Linked DNA regions of Arabidopsis thaliana. The protein of the gene in region 1 interacts with the protein of each later gene in a pairwise test. Each region holds a gene or a part of one and is shown on either strand. Other genes may lie near its edges.

Region 1 (9,348 bases):
AACAAAGGTGGATCCCTTTGTGAGGTAGATGAGAATATCTCATTCAAGGGCTTAGTTGAGAGTGTCATTGAAGATTTCAGATTTGATCCGGTGAGCGACGAAGTCGTCGGGTTTTTCGAAGGCAAAGCTGTTGGATTTGGAAGAAATGAGATTAGATATTGTGTATTTTCTATATTTTATTTTAATTAATTTTTAGAGGATTAAAATTTTTGTGTGCTATTTGTACAAGTTTTAAAAGAATGTGTCATTTTTGCAATAATAAACCTTTTTAGTGTCATTTATGTCAATCTCCTATATTTTAACACTTATAGCGAATTATAAATTTACAAATTGTTACAAATAAGTGAATTATTTTTATGGTGGATATAAATATAAATAGTAGATTATTTTTAAACTTGTAAAGTGATCAAAATACTAAATAGTAAAGAGACAAAAGAGGAGAAAAATGTTTTATTACTTCTCTTGTAATTGAAATAATGAATGTCATTTACAACGATCGAAATCGTTTATGTAGACGTAAAAAAGTTAATTACTATGCATACATAATGACAATGAATTCTACATAATTTGCGTAACATTTATTATATATATATATGTACATATATTTTTGACGTTGCGAGAAGTCACATTTATTAAATTTTGTAAAATAAATAATTTAATTTCAGTTTCCCTTATCAAATACTGTTCTCGTATTTAATAAAGTTTAAATAACTTTTTACAAACTGTTCAGACCTGGTGAATATAGTGTCTTCTCCAACCGAATGGACGACTTTCTCAGAGTATTTGGAGGAATTACGGAACAATAAGAAAGAATTCACAAGTTTTTCTTCATCTTTAATTTTTGGTAGTGTAAATATTATAGCGGATTCTTTGACAAGAAAAATCCGTATCGAACCGCATCATATTACCTATGTAAACAACATTTCTTAGGAATGACTCTTTTAAGCTAAATTATTAGCGGTCGACAACAAAAATAAAAGAAATTTAAATAACTTTATTATTTAAACTTTTACTTTACCCTTTAAAACCAAGTTAACATAATAATAAGTATGAAATTAGCATAAAACAATATCCCTAACAGAATTAGCAAAATCCAATCATTAAATGGACTATATATGGAAACCTGCCTCTACAGTTGTTCTTGAGATCAAAAACATCCTCTGTTGTCACCTCGATCTCTTATCAAGAGCTCAACAGATCATCCGCCCATGTCCATCTCTCCTTGTCACTTGGTTTGGCGTTTTTCAGTAGAAGATTCAGTTGGTTTCTCTTCTGGACCTGGAGCCTTGTTTCGGTTTTTGGCATTTTGCCATCTATTTGGACATGCGGCCTAATTTCGGTTTTTATTGTGTATTTGGGCCTGTAACTTTATTTAAACGTTTTGTCATGTATATTGATTTAATATTATTGGAAATTTAAAATTAAATAAAAAAATGGACTATATACTTAAATAAAAAAAAAAAATTCTTTTTTATTTTTACTGTAAATCCTGAACAAAAAAAAAGAAAAGTAAATCTGCAATAAATGGCTCAGTTAACAATTTTGACTCAGTTAGAGATCCTCTCTCTCCCGTATCTATTACAGAACCTGTTAAACTGAGAGACTGTTTAAAGAAGATTTACATAAATCTAAACTCCACGTGGCACGTATCTATCCGAATCAGTATTAATCCCATCGAAGAAGAAAACAATTCTTCATACAAAAAAAACTCTCTTCTCAAGTCTCTCCTTCTTCTCCGTCCTTCCCAATTCTTCCGTTCAAACAAATTTCTCCAAACCCAAACCCTAATTTCCTCCGTCTGTGAAATCAAGGGTTTTCTCTGATCTGGGTTTTGATCAGAAATCAGATCTAGGTTTAATTTTCGAAATCAAATTATGAGGAAGAGAGAAAGAGAGAACCCTTGTTCGATTTGTGGGCATTACCATAAGTACGAGGAAGGAGAAGTATGTGGAGTCTGTGGTCACTGTATGCCTGTTTCTTCCGATACGGTGGCGCCGCAACAAGTCCACGTCAGTGCTTTTCCGTCGGAGATTCTCCCTGAGTTTCTTTACCTCGGTAGTTACGACAACGCTTCTCGCTCTGAGCTTCTTAAGACTCAAGGAATCTCTCGTGTTCTTAATGTGAGTTTCTTTGCTTTGATTTTGAATTCATGAATTGCTTTTGTTTTAAACATTGATGATGACCCTTAAGAAAAAGATAAGATCTTTGAATCTTTGAATCGGTTTGTTTAGTTAGGGTTTTGCCTTGTAGATGAATCTTTCTTATACTTATACGTTTTGTTGACTTATGGTTTCTGTTAAAGTTCCTGTTATGGTAATAGAGAGGAATGTGTTGTTTACTATTTGTTGGTATTGACTCTGTTTTTGTTACTCTGTTTCAGACGGTTCCTATGTGCCAGAATCTCTACAGGAATTCATTCACTTATCATGGTCTTGATAATGAAAAAGTTTTACAGTTTGATGATGCTATTAAGTTCTTAGGTATGTTGATTCTATCTCAAGTTTCTAGATTTCATCTTTATGATTTTTTCTTGACGGTCTTGCTTTGTGTAGACCAATGTGAGAAGGACAAGGCACGTGTTCTTGTGCATTGCATGTCTGGGAAAAGTAGGTGAGTACATTTATCATTCTCTTACTCTCATCCTAAACTTGCGGCTGCTTTCTTATGATTACCATTAATTATTTAGACTAATAGAGTGATATGTTTTGTGTTTCGATTACATGACAGATCACCAGCGGTTGTTGTAGCGTACTTGATGAAACGAAAAGGGTGGAGACTCGCTGAGAGTCATCAGTGGGTTAAACAACGGAGACCAAGCACTGACATAAGTCCAGGCAAGTACTTAGACTTTGGATTAGAAACTTACTTATTGTTCTTGAAACTGTTACTCATTGCTTTTTCTTTGTACACAGAGTTTTACCAACAACTGCAGGAGTTTGAGCAGGGGATATTCGGATCTGAGATGATGTCGGCGATGAATATTAATGATGCTCCAACGTTTGGGTTTGGTTTCCCTAAGATTGATAATCAAGCACAAGCTCCTGTGTTCAACAATGCTCCTACTTCTTCTATATTTTCATCTCCTGCTTCAAGTATCCCTCCTCAGGAGTTCACTTTTGGAGCAACTCCACCAAAGCCAACAACTGGTGGTGATATTGCAATGGATGGCTCTTAGAACCAGATAATCATATACTCTTGCAAGAATTTTCATCAACAAATATACTGTTGTGAGAATGTTTCTTTTTCTTTTTTGTACATGGAGATTGGTGCATTGCTTGAGAGAGTTTGGGGTTTGAGAACATGAGATTGGAAGCATCTTTGTCTGGTTTATTCCTCACTCTCCCACAATTCTGTATCGATCTTTACAGCGAAATATACTATTAAACCAGTTATGACAAGCCACACTAGTAGGATCTTATCTGTTTCTGCAAAGCAGATAAGCTTAGACATTCAATACTTTCACTTTATCCTTTTATGCTTTCGAAAGCCCTTTTTGACTGTTTGTCTTAGACTGCAAACCAAATAAGCTGAGACATTCTAATCTACATGGATCATTTCGCCTTTAACTGTAATTTACCATATGTTAGAACTCTTATGAAAAAAATTCAACCTTAGATTATAGCAAGTATCTCAGCGTACTCTAGTATCAAACAAAGGCATGTGACTCACGATAGTTTTTAACGCCTGGCATAACTAAGAATAGTCGAAGCTGCTAAAATGCTTGGCGTATATCGATGAGATTCCAAACCAGTGCAATGAATTGAGTTGCCCATTCTGCTTTCTGACGGATGCAAGAGCTGTATCAACTTCTCAGCACCAACAACTTGTCTTTCTCTCATCTTTTCATCCAAGAGTAGTCTCCTACAGTTTCAAACAACATCTCACGTCATCATCATGCCCATTTCTCAATTGCCAGATAACAAAATATAAAGTAAAAGTGGGTGAAAAGAAAAAGATATACTCTAGTATCGATGCGAGATTTGAAGGGTTACAAGCTTGAAACAAAGCTTCAGGAATGATTGGGGAGTCTAGGAGAATGTTTGGGAGAGAAATATAAGGTATCTTGGCTTTGTAACGGATTAATAGCTCTGTTAGAAAATGTGCTCGGTAAGCAACAAGGGAAGGTAGATGAGCAAGCTGCAACTCAACAGCAACTGTTCCTGAAGTGCATAATGCAGCCTGACTCGCCTGTTATTATGGAACACCGCAAAATGAGAGGAGTAAACAGATGAGACACTTAGAACGAGGTTTCAAAGACTTACGCCAAAGGCATCATATTTAAGCTGAGTGGATCCACTAGGGACTAGTATTGCTGGAACTGGCCACTCACTGAAGGATTCTCCAATGTAATGATCAACTTGATTATTGGATGCGACGTGGATAAGCGTTACTAGTTTTGGAAACGGATCTTTGAGTAGCTTCATTGCTTTGGAAAATATGGGTAGCATTCTTTCAACTTCTTGTAATCTGCTCCCCGGTAGAACCGAAATGACAGTGGAGTCTTGTTTCATGAAAAGTTATGCAATGCAGCAGAAGAACAATGAGATATCAATAAAAGTAGATATCCAATCTGTAGAAAAGTTAAATCATTTTGATAAACTTCACATTACCAGAAGGTATTGAGTGTTCGCTAAAACTCAAGCCTTCAAGTTTCAGTTCCTGAGGCTTGCACCTTCTCACCTGTGGCAGAAAAGAGCACCATTTCACTTAGAATTCTGACAGAGTGTCATAGAAACTGAGGTAATTCAAGAAGAAGAAGAAGAAAACGCATACAAGGTCGAACTCAGAAGCATCCTCAAGAACAGGATGTCCAACAAACGTTGCTTCAACCCCATGCTCCCTACAAACCCTTTCCTCGTTCGGAAGAATGCAGAAAAGATGATCAACGAATTCAGACAGACCTCCAAGTCTTGACTCTCCTCCTTTCCAAGCCCAGAACGACGGTGCGACATAGTGAAAATGCACAGAACAATTTTCCAACCGCTGCTGCTTGTATCTAGCTGCAAAGCCAAAAAGCATTCCTCCATTGTCCTACATGATATATATGACTTCATTCAGGAATGTTTGGCTTCAAAAAGCCATTTCTAAGGTTCCTATTTCTCTACTTTTTCAACTTCTACTACAGAAAACAAAATCAAGGACATCATCCTAGAGATTAGTGTCAAATTACGCAAAAACATGTTCCTACTGGAGAAGAAGCTTCCATACATAAATCTTGGTACTATTCAAGAAAACTGTGCTTTTCGAAAACCACAATGAAGCTTTGAATTTAGTATGTCTTAGTCGTTAAGCGACACTGTTTAGCAAGCATTCTATTCACTAAAGCTCAATGATTCTCTCGTACAAGTTTGATGAAACAAGTTTTGTGTTGTTTACCTCGTAACTCCTTAAGTAAACGGAAAGAGAAGCCCTTTGAATCAACAGTCACAACAACATGTGGCTTAAACTTAACCGCAGCATCAATAGTCTCCTTCAACTTCACCTAGTATCTCAAAAACTAGACTAGTCAATCAAAAGAATCTAGAGTAGCTTTATATCAAACCATTCAAAAGGTTACTCACACGGAATTTATACAAATGTGGCAAAAGCTCCCATACACCCATTACAGCCAAATCCTCCATTGGAAACAACGAATTCAATCCTTTCTTGCACATCAAGGATCTATCAATTTGTAAGAAGCAAAGATACAAATGTTCCAACTTTATGAAATTTTCAATTGAGAATCAAAACTTTTCATAAGAAACTTCTAAATTGGGGGAAACCCAAGTGCTTACCCTCCAACTCCATTGAAACGGATGGGTAAAGGAGAGAGCTTTTTAAGCGAGGACATAAGACGAGAACCGATGTTATCGCCGGAAACTTCGCCGGAGACGATGAAAACTCTGAGCTCCCCATCGATTGCAGCCTTGTCAATCACCGATTTAGCAGCTTGAAATGATGAGTATCTCTTAGTGAATGTTGAGAGAGGGAAACGAAGTTTGCTCTTTGTAATCTGAAACATCATTTCGGAGAAGAGAGAGAATCAAAAACTCTGAAAGAGTGAAAGTGACGTTGTTAAACAATGAACTGCGATGAAAGCAAGATTTCTCATGGGGACTTTAATGGGCCTCTTAAGCCCACTTCTTATCAGCATGTTATTGAGGCCCATCAGTCATAGTGATACTTGTTTAGGAGACAGTGATAGTTATAGACTTACAGTGAGTGATTGTAGATGTTGAATGGCCTATGTTTATTGTTTTTGGATCTAAAACTTATCAAGTAAGAGTTTTTTTCTTCTGTTAAATTAGTACTCCATCTGTTCTTTTTTGTTTGATTGTTTAGAAAAAAAAATTGTTTAAAAAAGATTATTTTTTAGGTTTTCAATGCAATAATTGTTAGTTATAATTGATAAATTGTAAACTTCGATACAAATTATTAAATATTATTGGTTTAGAGTTATTGAAAATTGTAAATCACGAAAAACAGTAAATTTAAAAGCAACATTTCATATGTTTTCTTAATATTTGTGTTTTTCCTAAAGGATCAAACAAAAAGGAACAGATTGAGTATTACTTAGGATAAGTTTGGGGTTTATAGCAAAAAGTTTGATATTTGGGGCTTATAGCAAAAAGTTGGACTGACAATTATAAAAATAGTAACCAAGACTATCAAAATATTTGATAAATTTAGCTTATCTTTTTATTAACCTTTAGGATTCTGATTTTCTTAAACTAACTTTTTTTTAAGGTTGGTCATATGGATAAAAAAGATTAAACTGTTCAATTTTGGGTTGTCTGAAATCTATATAAAAGAAAAGCTACAAACACAAAAGCTTATTATTCCAAAAACTCTTTAAATTTATTTTCTCTTTAAGGGAAAAATAGATAATTGACTTATTCATCACACCATTTCTGCTTTTAGATATTTGTGAAATCCTCTCTATGTTTCTTAATCGTCTCATTTAATCCCGGCGATAGTAAATATTGTAATAAAAGAGATACACTTCCAATCATACTTTGGAGGAATGACATGGTCTCATAATTAAGTCATGTTGTTGGATGTTTCGTGTTTTTCGTCCTAATTTATTTGTTATGTTTCTTGTTGTGGGCTTTAGTTTAAAGAGCTATGTTCATGTACTTCAGTTCTCATTTTGGCTATAAAACATATACTTCATGATCACTAAAAATGCAAAAAGGGTGAACTTATATCACATCACATCAAATTCTTGCATTTAACAACGTTAAGGCGATGGAATTTGATAAAACTATGAAAATGTTACTTACATCAAACTTTAAAAGCAAAAATATCATTTATTTTTCCAAAGTTAATCTTAATATTTTGATGGAGATAGGATTAAATCTAAGGTCCTTCAGAATATTTGGCGGATTTTAAGAGCAATAGAGAAGAATTCTCCACTTTTTTTTTATTATTAATTTCTCGCAGATGTAAAAGCGGATAATTTGGCACGAAAACTCCGTATCGAACCACATCATATCACATTTATAAACAACATACTCCACAAATAGCTCGTTTGAGTTGTTGTTTTTTTAGTAAATCGGTTGACAAAAAAAAAAAGAGGATTAAATCTAAGGTCCTTCATGTAATCAAGATCCTAATTTCAGAAAGTTTAACTATTTTGAGACCATATCGTTTAAAACCCAAAACATTATTCCAACTTGAATTGATGATGAGATAAGATATGTAGACCCTACTCAACTAAATATATCATTTAGTCTCTCGACAGATAATTCCTTTCATAAACTGAAACCTAACTGAAGAATTAATACACAAATATTTCCCTTTTTAGTCATATCCCTAATCATATAACTACAAAAATTTAGAGAGTACACACATAGCAAAGTCAATCCAACGGTAAAAGAGAGCAGTATTGATGGAGCGGCAAACGACCAAACAACAAATCGTGCTGAAAATAATAATGTCTCACCAGAATTTTTCAGCATTAATTGAAACACACAACAAACCTCTCCTTATTCAATGAAACCACATTTCAAACACTCATGTTTTCTTATAAAGAGAGGCCTCTATTCTTTTATACAGCTCATGGAATCACACTATCACAATCATAACCACAAAAACAAACACTATGGGACACCTCAAAAGTCTCTTCACAATTCTTTTCCTAATAGCTATGTCTTCAACCGTAACATTTGCCGGTAAAATACCCGCGATCATCGTGTTTGGCGACTCTTCCGTTGATGCCGGGAACAACAACTATATCCCAACTGTTGCTAGAAGCAACTTTGAGCCATATGGACGGGACTTTGTTGGTGGAAAGCCGACCGGACGGTTTTGTAACGGAAAGATTGCGACGGATTTTATGTCCGAAGCCTTAGGGCTTAAACCAATCATTCCGGCGTACTTGGATCCTTCTTATAACATTTCGGATTTTGCAACAGGTGTTACCTTTGCTTCTGCTGCCACTGGCTATGACAACGCCACTTCTGATGTTCTGGTACGGACTTTTCTCTCCCTTGTATTTATTACATTGATATGTTACATAACTACACGTCTTTATAGACATTTATGATTGATGAGATATATAGTATAACTATCATAGTTGTCTTGGTTATATAATGTAACAAATCTTTGTACTACATGTTGTTTTGTTGGCAAATGTTGTTTTGGGATATTATCCTACATGTAGTAATTATATTCCACTGATTGCGATTGTAGTCGGTACTACCTCTATGGAAACAACTCGAATACTACAAAGAATACCAAACAAAACTTAAAGCATACCAAGGAAAAGACAGAGGCACAGAGACTATAGAAAGCTCTCTCTACCTCATAAGCATAGGGACCAACGATTTCCTCGAGAATTACTTTGCCTTTCCGGGCCGTTCTTCGCAATATTCCGTCAGTCTTTACCAAGATTTTCTAGCCGGAATCGCGAAAGAATTTGTGAAGAAGTTGCATGGACTTGGTGCTAGAAAGATCTCACTAGGTGGGTTACCTCCAATGGGATGCATGCCTTTAGAGAGAGCCACCAACATTGGCACTGGAGGTGAGTGCGTAGGACGGTACAACGACATAGCCGTCCAGTTCAACAGCAAGCTTGATAAGATGGTTGAGAAGCTGAGCAAAGAGCTCCCTGGTTCCAACCTCGTTTTCTCAAATCCCTATGAGCCATTTATGCGGATCATCAAGAACCCTTCCTCCTTTGGTATGCTATAGCTATTAACAATTCCATCATAAATAACTTCATTATATTATCTCTAATTTGTATATATATAACTATATGTATTAATGTTTGATTGGTGAAAAATATGAAGGGTTCGAGGTGGTGGGAGCGGCATGTTGCGCGACAGGGATGTTCGAGATGGGATATGGTTGTCAAAGGAATAACCC
Region 2 (9,257 bases), on another chromosome or scaffold:
GGTGAAAAGATTAGCTTTGTTCCTCAAGATTCTAGGTATGACCTGCTTTTATGATTTCAGGGGAGCTTGAAATAGACTTCTAATGTTTAGAGTTCGGTTTCTTAGGAATGTATCATAACTCATAGAAGAGAAATTCGTATTTCAAAATCAAACACCAAAAGAATATTATTGGAGCTATTATTCTTTTTCAAGTTACTCAGCAATATCTATGTTCTGTTTCAGGGGTAATGTAGAGAAGAAGATGTTGTTTTACCCTAAAGAGATTCATGTAAGTATTAACTAGAAGTATTGCTAGCCACAAAAGATTCTAGAATGGAATATCAAGCTTAATTTATGTTTATTTTAATAGGCTGTAGTGTCAAAAGATGGATGTCAAGCTTCTGTTTCTCCATTTACTGGTCGGCTTGGTCTTTACATACAAGGATCAGTCTCTCCTCCTCTTCCTGGTGTTAATATTAAGATTTTTGCGGCAAAGGACAGCCTTATTTCTTCACTTAAGAAAGGGGAAATAGCTATTGAAACAAGCACTTTATCAGCTGGTTCATTTGTTGCTGGGCCTTTGTATGACGATATACCATATGCCACTGAAGCTTCAAAGGTTGGTGTATATTATACTGATATATTTTTCATGTGCATGTAAATTGACCTTGAGATGATGTTTTTCTTCGCTTTTCTAATCGTAGGTTAAATCTCATGCATTTGGCTACACTAAAATTCTCACTTACATTCAATTGTTTTGAAATAATGTGTTCCTAATCTGGCTTGCACATGCAGCCTGGCTACCATATTAAAAGGTTAGGACCATATTCCTTCTCCTGCCAGAAGCTTGGTCAGATCTCTGTGCGTGTAAACTCAAAGGACAATGCTGAGACATCAATACCTCCACTGTTGTTATCATTAAGTGGCGATCATGGTTACAGAAATAATTCCATATCTGGCGCTGGTGGACTCTTTGTGTTTGATAGCTTATTCCCTGGAAATTTCTACTTGCGTCCCCTTCTTAAGGTAATTAATCCATACGCCCTTGCATTCTTAGCAAAGCTTGACTGACTGTGATCTTAAATAGAAATGCCAATAGCTTTCATTGGGAACATTCTTCGAAGGCTTTCTCAAAACGTTAAAGTAGCCGAAAAGAAATTAAGGAAATTTTTTCTGATTATCTATCGTGTTTCTCAGGAATATTCTTTCAAACCTTCAACACTGGCTATAGAACTGAATTCTGGGGAATCCAGTGAAGCTGTCTTTGAGGCTACTCGTGTTGCCTACAGGTTTTGATCTATTTCTAAATCATCCTTTTTCTCACTATTCGTTCCTGATTTTACTTTTGTCAAAATAAGCTGTTACCTTGATTAGATTTTGGAAGAAATTGCTTTCTACTCCTAAAATTGCTTATTTAAGTATGATTACACCAAGGTTTCAGTTCTCCTGAAATAAAATTAGACCAAAACACTGTTTTTGAAACTTGTACCAATTCAAAATGACCAGTTACATACTACATTGGTCACTTTAAGTTTCAATTGCAATCTCATAGATTTCCACTATTAGCACATTTTGATTTTTGTCCACATATGTGTGGGCTTAGATTACATTCTTTATTTCTGTAACATTATATCTTGTCAATTCCTGTGCAGTGCAATGGGTAGAGTCGCTCTTCTATCGGGCCAGCCACAAGAAGGTGTTGCAATTGAAGCTCGCTCTGACTCCAAAGGATACTATGAGGAGACTACAAGCGATATTAATGGAAATTATCGACTGAGAGGGTTACATCCAGATACAGCATATGTAATTAAAGTGTCGAAGAAAATTGGTTCAGCCAACAATCAAATTGAACGTGCATCTCCAGAGTCGGTTTCTCTTCAGGTTTGTTTCTGTTTGTCCATATAATGTTCATTCTCATCATCCGCAATTTCAACAGAGTTTACCTGACCATTGTATTGTCTTATAGATTGGTTATGAAGATATCAATGGGCTCGACTTTTTGGTATTTGAACAACCAGAAACGACCATATTGACATGCCATGTCGAAGGAAAACAAAACGAAGATCTAAACTCGAATCTGCTAGTGGAGATCAAATCAGCCATTGATAAATCTAAGATAGAGAATGTCTTTCCACTACCACTCTCCAACTTCTTCCAAGTAAAAGGCTTACCCAAAGGTAAGCACCTTGTGCAGCTTAAATCCAGTCGTCCTTTGATCTCCCACAAAGTAGAATCAGAGATTATTGAAGTTGATTTCGAGACCAATGCCCAAATCCATATTGGTCCACTTCGATACAGCATTGTGGCAGATCATCAGAGTCAGGTAAATAGATAACTTACATAATCTTCGACATTTTTTCCATTATTCTTGTTTGCTCATTGTGGTTTGATTTGTATCGACTTCAGGAAGTGACACCTGCAGCTATATTGCCACTGGTTATTGGAGTTTCGGCAATTGCTCTATTCCTCAGCATCCCCAGGTAATAATTTATTACCAAACTGTAACATTTGTAATTTGGAACATTTCCACAACTAGTAATCCACATGCTTATAAAAAAAAGGTTGAAAGACATCTACCAAGCCACGGTTGGAATTTCGTCTCCCGGGTTCACTACATCTGCCAAGAGAGAACCTCGAAAAGCTGTTGCTAGAAAGAAGACGTTCTGAAGAATTTATTCATCTTCGGTCTTCTTTTTTTTGTTTTTTGTTATATAGTATCGTTAGAGGGAATTTATTCAAAACATTGCAGAACTCAGAAACTCCTCTAATCCATTTTAAAGTTTAGAGAAACACTCTTAACGGTCAATTTAGTCTTCTTTTTTAAATGTGAATTGTGTTAGAATCTTTTTCTCCATGACTATTTCCAAAAACGCTGTTATCAGTTTTTACCATTACTTTTTAGATTTAATTTTTAATGATACAGTTGGTACAAAATTCAAATACATCTGAGAGAATTCCTATTTATTTTTTTCTATTAACTAAATTATCAACAAATCTCCACTTACACTACTATATATATATATATATGTTGTATCTTATTTAGTTACAACAAATATCATAACAGAAACAATTGTTAGATATCAAAAGGTTTCTCTTAGATTTTTTTATAGATGAAAATTTAAAACATTAATTTCAATTAAAAACTGTTAACAAATAAATCAAAGTATTAGTACTTAAAAAAAAATTATGTGAGAGCAAAATATTTAATCCTTATCTTTAACATTTTCTTTTTTATTTTGTATTTGGTATTTATTAAAGATAAAGATTATATATAGCTGATTTATTTATATATTTCATAATTTTACATAAATTAATTTTATACTTTTTTCAAAGTCATTAATTTTCAATCTCCAGTAGTTGAAAACTGATGATTAGATCATTAGATACATATTTTTTTTTTCTTAAGTATATAATATTGATGATATAGAACTCTCAACTGGGAACTATCTCGTTGCAAAAGAATGGAGAAAGACAAAAATAATCGTGAGACTATCATTACATCAAATGATATTTTAGAAGAGATCTTTCAATATCTTCCAAGCTAAGTTCAAGGCCGTGTCGAAACAATGGAGATTGATGATCGAATCAACCTATTTATCCCACAAACGTCTCGTTCGATGGGGATTACAAACCCCGAACACGAAACTTCTTGTTGTTCATCAACTGTCATCAAATTCTGACTCAACAACTTTGCTTTTGAAAACTTTTAAAAGAGATCATGACAATAACGGACAAATATGTCTTTCTTCTTCTAGTTCTTATACTTTTCCTGATAATCCAATCAACCAATCTCGACACGAAACTATCCAAGTCTTGGGGTCTTGCGACGGATTGGTCTTGGTTGGGACCTACGATTTTAAGTACCTTTACTTAATCAATCCAACGACGGGAGAGTGGATATTTGACAATTTTTCTAATATATGTATTTTTGTTCATTTGAAGGAGAATTTGTGACCATAAGGCCATTTTGCGTTGGATTTGGAAAAGACATTATTACAAAATCATACAAGGTGATTTTGATGTACTCAGAAAAAAATCATCCTCATGGATATTTTGATGGTTTCAATATCAAAGCTATATCTCTTGATAATGGAAAGCAACGAGACGCCGGTTGGTACGTTTTAGATGAGCACGAAATTTGCAATGAACAAACACCGGTTTACGCAAACGGATCACTCTTTTGGTGGACAACATTTACTTCTTGGAAATATCGAATATTTTCAGAATTACCTTCACAGATATTAGCTTGTGATCTACACACACAAAATTTTCGATGGGTATCAATACCGGAATGTTACACCCGTTACACTCGTGGAGTGCAAATGTGGAGCCTAAATGAGCGTTTGTGCTTATCAGATGTGCTACACAGACAATGTTCAGAATTAGACGTTTGGAGTTTACAAGATTCTACTCAAAAATGGGAGCATTTGTTTTCTTTTAATATTCTTAATATCGATCGATTAGATGCAAAATGTTGGATGCTTGGTCTAAGGGCTGCTCACTTTCGAAGGATTGGAGAGGACCAAAATCAAGTTTCGTTTGATAGTATAAGAACGGTGATTTGGTATTCGCCGACTATGATTTCTCCATCAAATTTGTTGGTTTGATGTTGTTTCAACCTTCTATGATTAAATAAATCTCAAAAGCTTTTGAGTTTTTAACTTCACAAGTACAAGTAGAAAGAAAAGCTCTTGACTTAAAGAGGAAGAGAAAAAAAAATGTTTTGTATTTAAAGAAGGTACAGTATAGTGGAATGACTTGAAGTATTGGGCTGCACATGATCCAACGCTGAGGATTTTACAATTATAATTCAAAAGCATATATCTTGGTCATACCGGTTAACTACTGAAGCGGTCAAAAATAAAACACACGAAAACGTATCTTGTCCAAACGACACGCAGATTAATTACTGTTTAAACACATTAAGCCACGTACAATAGCCGGTCACCAATTCAAGGCATTTATTTAGCAGGCATCCATGTTTCATTCCTCACTCTCTCTCTTTTTCTCTAACCATAAAATCTCTTTGATCTCTTTCTCTGTGTTTTGATAATGGAAAATGTTGGTGTTGGGATGCCGTTTTACGATTTAGGGCAAACAAGGGTTTACCCACTCTTGTCTGATTTCCACGATTTATCGGCGGAGAGGTATCCGGTAGGGTTCATGGATTTACTGGGTGTTCATCGTCATACACCCACCCATACGCCGTTGATGCATTTTCCGACCACACCTAACTCGTCCTCGAGCGAAGCTGTGAATGGAGATGACGAAGAAGAAGAAGATGGAGAAGAACAGCAGCATAAGACAAAGAAGCGGTGAGTTTGAGCTTTTGTTTTCGTTTTGCAAACCAAATTGTAGCAACTATATATGCTTGCTGAAAATTGGGATTATATAGGTTTAAATTCACTAAAATGAGTAGAAAGCAGACGAAGAAGAAGGTGCCAAAAGTGTCATTCATCACGAGGAGTGAGGTTCTTCATCTAGATGATGGTTATAAGTGGAGAAAATACGGTCAAAAACCTGTCAAAGACAGCCCTTTTCCAAGGTAATTAACACTCATATATTTCCTTTGGGATAGATTAAAAAAATTATGAGGTTTACAAATTTTTAAGGGGTTGTGTTTTTTTCCCTTTGCAAGAAATTATTACCGTTGCACAACAACTTGGTGTGACGTGAAGAAGAGAGTAGAGAGATCATTCAGTGATCCAAGCAGTGTAATCACCACTTACGAAGGTCAACATACTCATCCTCGTCCACTACTCATCATGCCCAAAGAAGGCAGCTCTCCATCCAATGGCTCAGCTTCTAGGGCCCACATTGGCCTCCCTACACTCCCTCCTCAGCTTTTAGATTACAACAACCAACAACAACAAGCGCCGTCTTCTTTTGGAACCGAGTACATTAACAGGCAAGAAAAAGGAATTAATCATGATGATGATGACGATCATGTTGTGAAGAAGAGTCGAACTCGGGATCTGCTGGATGGAGCTGGTTTAGTCAAAGATCATGGCCTTCTTCAGGATGTTGTTCCCTCTCATATCATTAAGGAAGAGTATTAGTTAATCGCATAATTATGTAGCTAGCTAGCTAGGTTTATTTTTTCTAATTGTCAGGATCCTTACCTCTCATATCATTAAGGGTGATGATGTTCAAGATGACACATGTATTTGATTTTTGATGGGTATTTTTTCTAACGAGAGGAATCATACTTGTTTAATTGAGATATACTATTCCTTTATTTTATAGTAACCCGTTTGATGATCTAGGATGAAAACACTAATTAATCTTATTGAACCGTTTGATATATCCAAACTCGAACAATGTACAATATTTTGAGAGCAATGATACGTTCTAGCTAGGGTTTAATGTTTTTTTCTCCATATGGAGCCAAAGTCGGTAAACCTTATTAATTTCTGATTGATTGTCCCTTCAACAGAGAAGCATAATTAGGTGGATTCAAAAGGGTATATTGATGTGGAAAAAGCCAAACTAATGTTATGTTACATAATGTATGCATGGATCGAAAAGGATATGGGATGGATCAGTATATATTTAATTAAGGAAAAAGATAACTTGAGCTTATATATATGATAATTGTAAAAAAGATATTCACCACTTGTATTTCATGATTACCCTGCAGCGTTGAAAATATATAATACACTGTCAAGTGTCAATGTCGCTTGCTATTTTAAACTTTTAACGTTTTCTTTTTGGTTTTTATTTTATTCTTGTGGTTTCCTCTAAAGCCCAAAAACGAAAATGAAGGAGTAAAACAAATTCAAATTCTAACCTAACCTCTAATAAATGATTTTTACTTTTATGAAAAACAATGACGTGTGGACTATTATTGTCTATTATGATACTCTCATGTATGTTTGTTAATTAACATTTGAGATTCGTTCCGTCTTCAAGCTGTTTGGAAGCAGTATTAAACATAACGTTTGAATTGAGTCAAACATCTTGTATCTTTTTGGATTAGATTAAAAAAATAACAATAATTAGTGGTTAATAAAATTATTTTTGTCGTAATTAATGGTTAGAAGAGACAAAGGGTTAAAATTAAACCTAAGGTAAAAATAGTTATTAAATCGCTACATATCTTCTAAGATTGTAACTAATAAAATGCAATAATAAAAAAATCTCAAATAATTTGACCCCAAAAAAAAAAATATAAACTTACATGGATTTTATGTAAGCTGATAAATTGCAGGTTTAGGCTACCTTTTTAAATTATTAATTATATCAAGAAAGATTGTTTGGAAGTTGCAATTGGCAAAATTTGAAAATTTGTTGTCATACTCAATAAATAAATAAATAAATAAAATGTCATACTATTTCCGTCCTTGCCTCGCTCCACCGATGAAAAACATCATCGCATCTTTCAATTGTCAATTCCATCATGAGATCATTAAGGAGAAAATCGGTTTCACGATATGGATGATTGGTGAATATTTCATTATCGATTTCAGAGATCGAAAATGGATTATCTGTTATCAAACGAAGCATTGGAGAACTGCCTTTCCCTAATGCTTCTAATGATGATCACCATATTCACACATGCCATTGGTATGAAGAGTGTCGTCGAAGGCTACTCATCGATGGAGATGCGAAACTCCGAACTCAAATAGCTATCGCCCTAACCAAACTAATCGATAAACAAAAAATCTTTCTTCATGATATTTCTTCAGGAAAACTCAGACAAGAACGAGCAGAAACTGTTAGGTTAATAGCGTCGTTGTAGTTGCTGCCTAAACATGAAACTTTGGGACGTGCGACTATTACTTTTTATAGCGGAGAAATCAGGAGATGCATGAAATCTATATGCCATCAAGATATAGAGCTTAACCAGTTATGTGTAAAAGCAAGTGGTGAAAATTAGGTTAGCTTGCTTTCTAAGAAATTGCAAGAACAAAGAGATATGTGTGACCAAGCGTTGTATCAGTTGGTAAAGCACCCTCAACTCAATCATCTAACTTTTTTGTTACTGAAATATATATAAAAAGCGGTTTAGATTCTTAAATTTTCGTGACTATATATATTTATACATAGAAAGCAATCTTTTTCGGGACCGCGAAGAACGATGGTCCAGCATAGGAGGCAGGCAATATATGAATGTGTTTTTGTAAGTCCATACTAGGGACGACGCCAATGTGTTATTTTAAAATTGTTTATCTTATATTGAATTTTGAACCTTTGCGATATTATTCGATTTCATTTTCTTTATGGTCACATAAGCGATTAATACTTTATTTACGCATCATGGGGTAAATCGATAAAGTTTACATATTATTCATTTGGGTTATTAATGTAATTTCACATGCTGTTGATTAGTAAGAGAAAGAAATATTGAAAAATTTGTAATAACAATTGAATAAAGCTAAAAGGAAACCTAAGCCCTTATTGCAAATCTGGAGGTGGCAAAAAGGGGAAGAAACCCTAAAACGATTGCCGTCCTACCCGAGGATTTAGTAAAAGAGAGATCATCCAACACCTTCCAGTGAGATCTCTAATTCAATTCAAGTCGGTATCGAAACAATGGAGATCGATGATCAAATCCACCTATTTCGTTAGAAAACATCTGGTTTGTCCTTTCCCATCAAACCCAAAAATTGTTGTTGGATCAAGGACTCATGATGACGAGAACTCGCTAACTATTCTTCTAGAGACTTTTTCAAGAGACCATCCAGGTGAAATCGACACACAAATCAGTTGTTCTCCTTGCTCTTACATTTTTCATGATCCAAGAACAGTGTGCCCAACTTTAACCTTATGTCGAGTTATAGGGCCTTGTGGTTTGGTCTGCATCCAAGAGTTAAGGTACTAATTATCATGTACATAATTTGGTTGACTAGCTATCATGAGTCTTTGCATATGCAAGGATTACAAAAATTGGTTACGTTTTCGATATCGTCAGTGAATTTTAGTTTTGTCTTCCTTTTTTTTTTTGTACCTGTGATATAATCATTTCAACAAATCTAATTTCCTCAATTTTTGTTTGAAAGTATTGTAATGACAATGTTTTCGTTAATCATCACTAATATTATAACCTAAACTTTAGCTGTCGGGAAAAAATTGAATCAAGTGTAAATCAAGAGAGGACCGGAAAGTTTATCCAACGCAGTTGCATGCAACATGGTCCAGGTTATATGTCGTACGTTTAATTCGTCTCAAACTTGCAAATTTTATGAAAGCAAATTTATATATACTTAAAAAAAAAATAAAAAAATTGATAATATAATTTGAATATTAACATATGTTTGTTGTTTCTCTGTAGATTT

Evidence for each region.
Region 2: the proteins of IBR5 (region 1) and WRKY68 interact in binary tests that used the Arabidopsis thaliana proteins (3 or more experiments, as listed by UniProt).

Annotation. Positions count from the first base shown.
Region 1 is NC_003071.7:1,586,664-1,596,011, forward strand, and holds IBR5 (indole-3-butyric acid response 5), read left to right. Parts: upstream 1-1,529; 5' UTR 1,530-1,874; coding exon 1,875-2,120; intron 2,121-2,380; coding exon 2,381-2,480; intron 2,481-2,552; coding exon 2,553-2,610; intron 2,611-2,727; coding exon 2,728-2,834; intron 2,835-2,912; coding exon 2,913-3,175; 3' UTR 3,176-3,503; downstream 3,504-9,348. Other genes in the region: LpxB (transferases, transferring glycosyl groups), read right to left, coding at 3,678-3,861, 3,962-4,188, 4,263-4,501, 4,611-4,680, 4,774-5,000, 5,377-5,482, 5,562-5,661, 5,775-6,004; AT2G04570 (GDSL-like Lipase/Acylhydrolase superfamily protein), read left to right, coding at 8,084-8,452, 8,674-9,163, 9,273-9,348. UniProt on the Arabidopsis thaliana protein: Required for the transduction of auxin and abscisic acid (ABA) signaling pathways. Dephosphorylates and inactivates the MAP kinase MPK12.
Region 2 is NC_003074.8:23,066,409-23,075,665, reverse strand, and holds WRKY68 (WRKY family transcription factor), read left to right. Parts: upstream 1-4,586; 5' UTR 4,587-5,031; coding exon 5,032-5,294; intron 5,295-5,374; coding exon 5,375-5,524; intron 5,525-5,617; coding exon 5,618-6,038; 3' UTR 6,039-6,177; downstream 6,178-9,257. Other genes in the region: AT3G62360 (Carbohydrate-binding-like fold), read left to right, coding at 1-35, 223-268, 350-598, 775-1,005, 1,177-1,268, 1,632-1,860, 1,946-2,302, 2,386-2,459 and 1 more; AT3G62350 (F-box/associated interaction domain protein), read left to right, coding at 3,900-4,586. UniProt on the Arabidopsis thaliana protein: Transcription factor. Interacts specifically with the W box (5'-(T)TGAC[CT]-3'), a frequently occurring elicitor-responsive cis-acting element.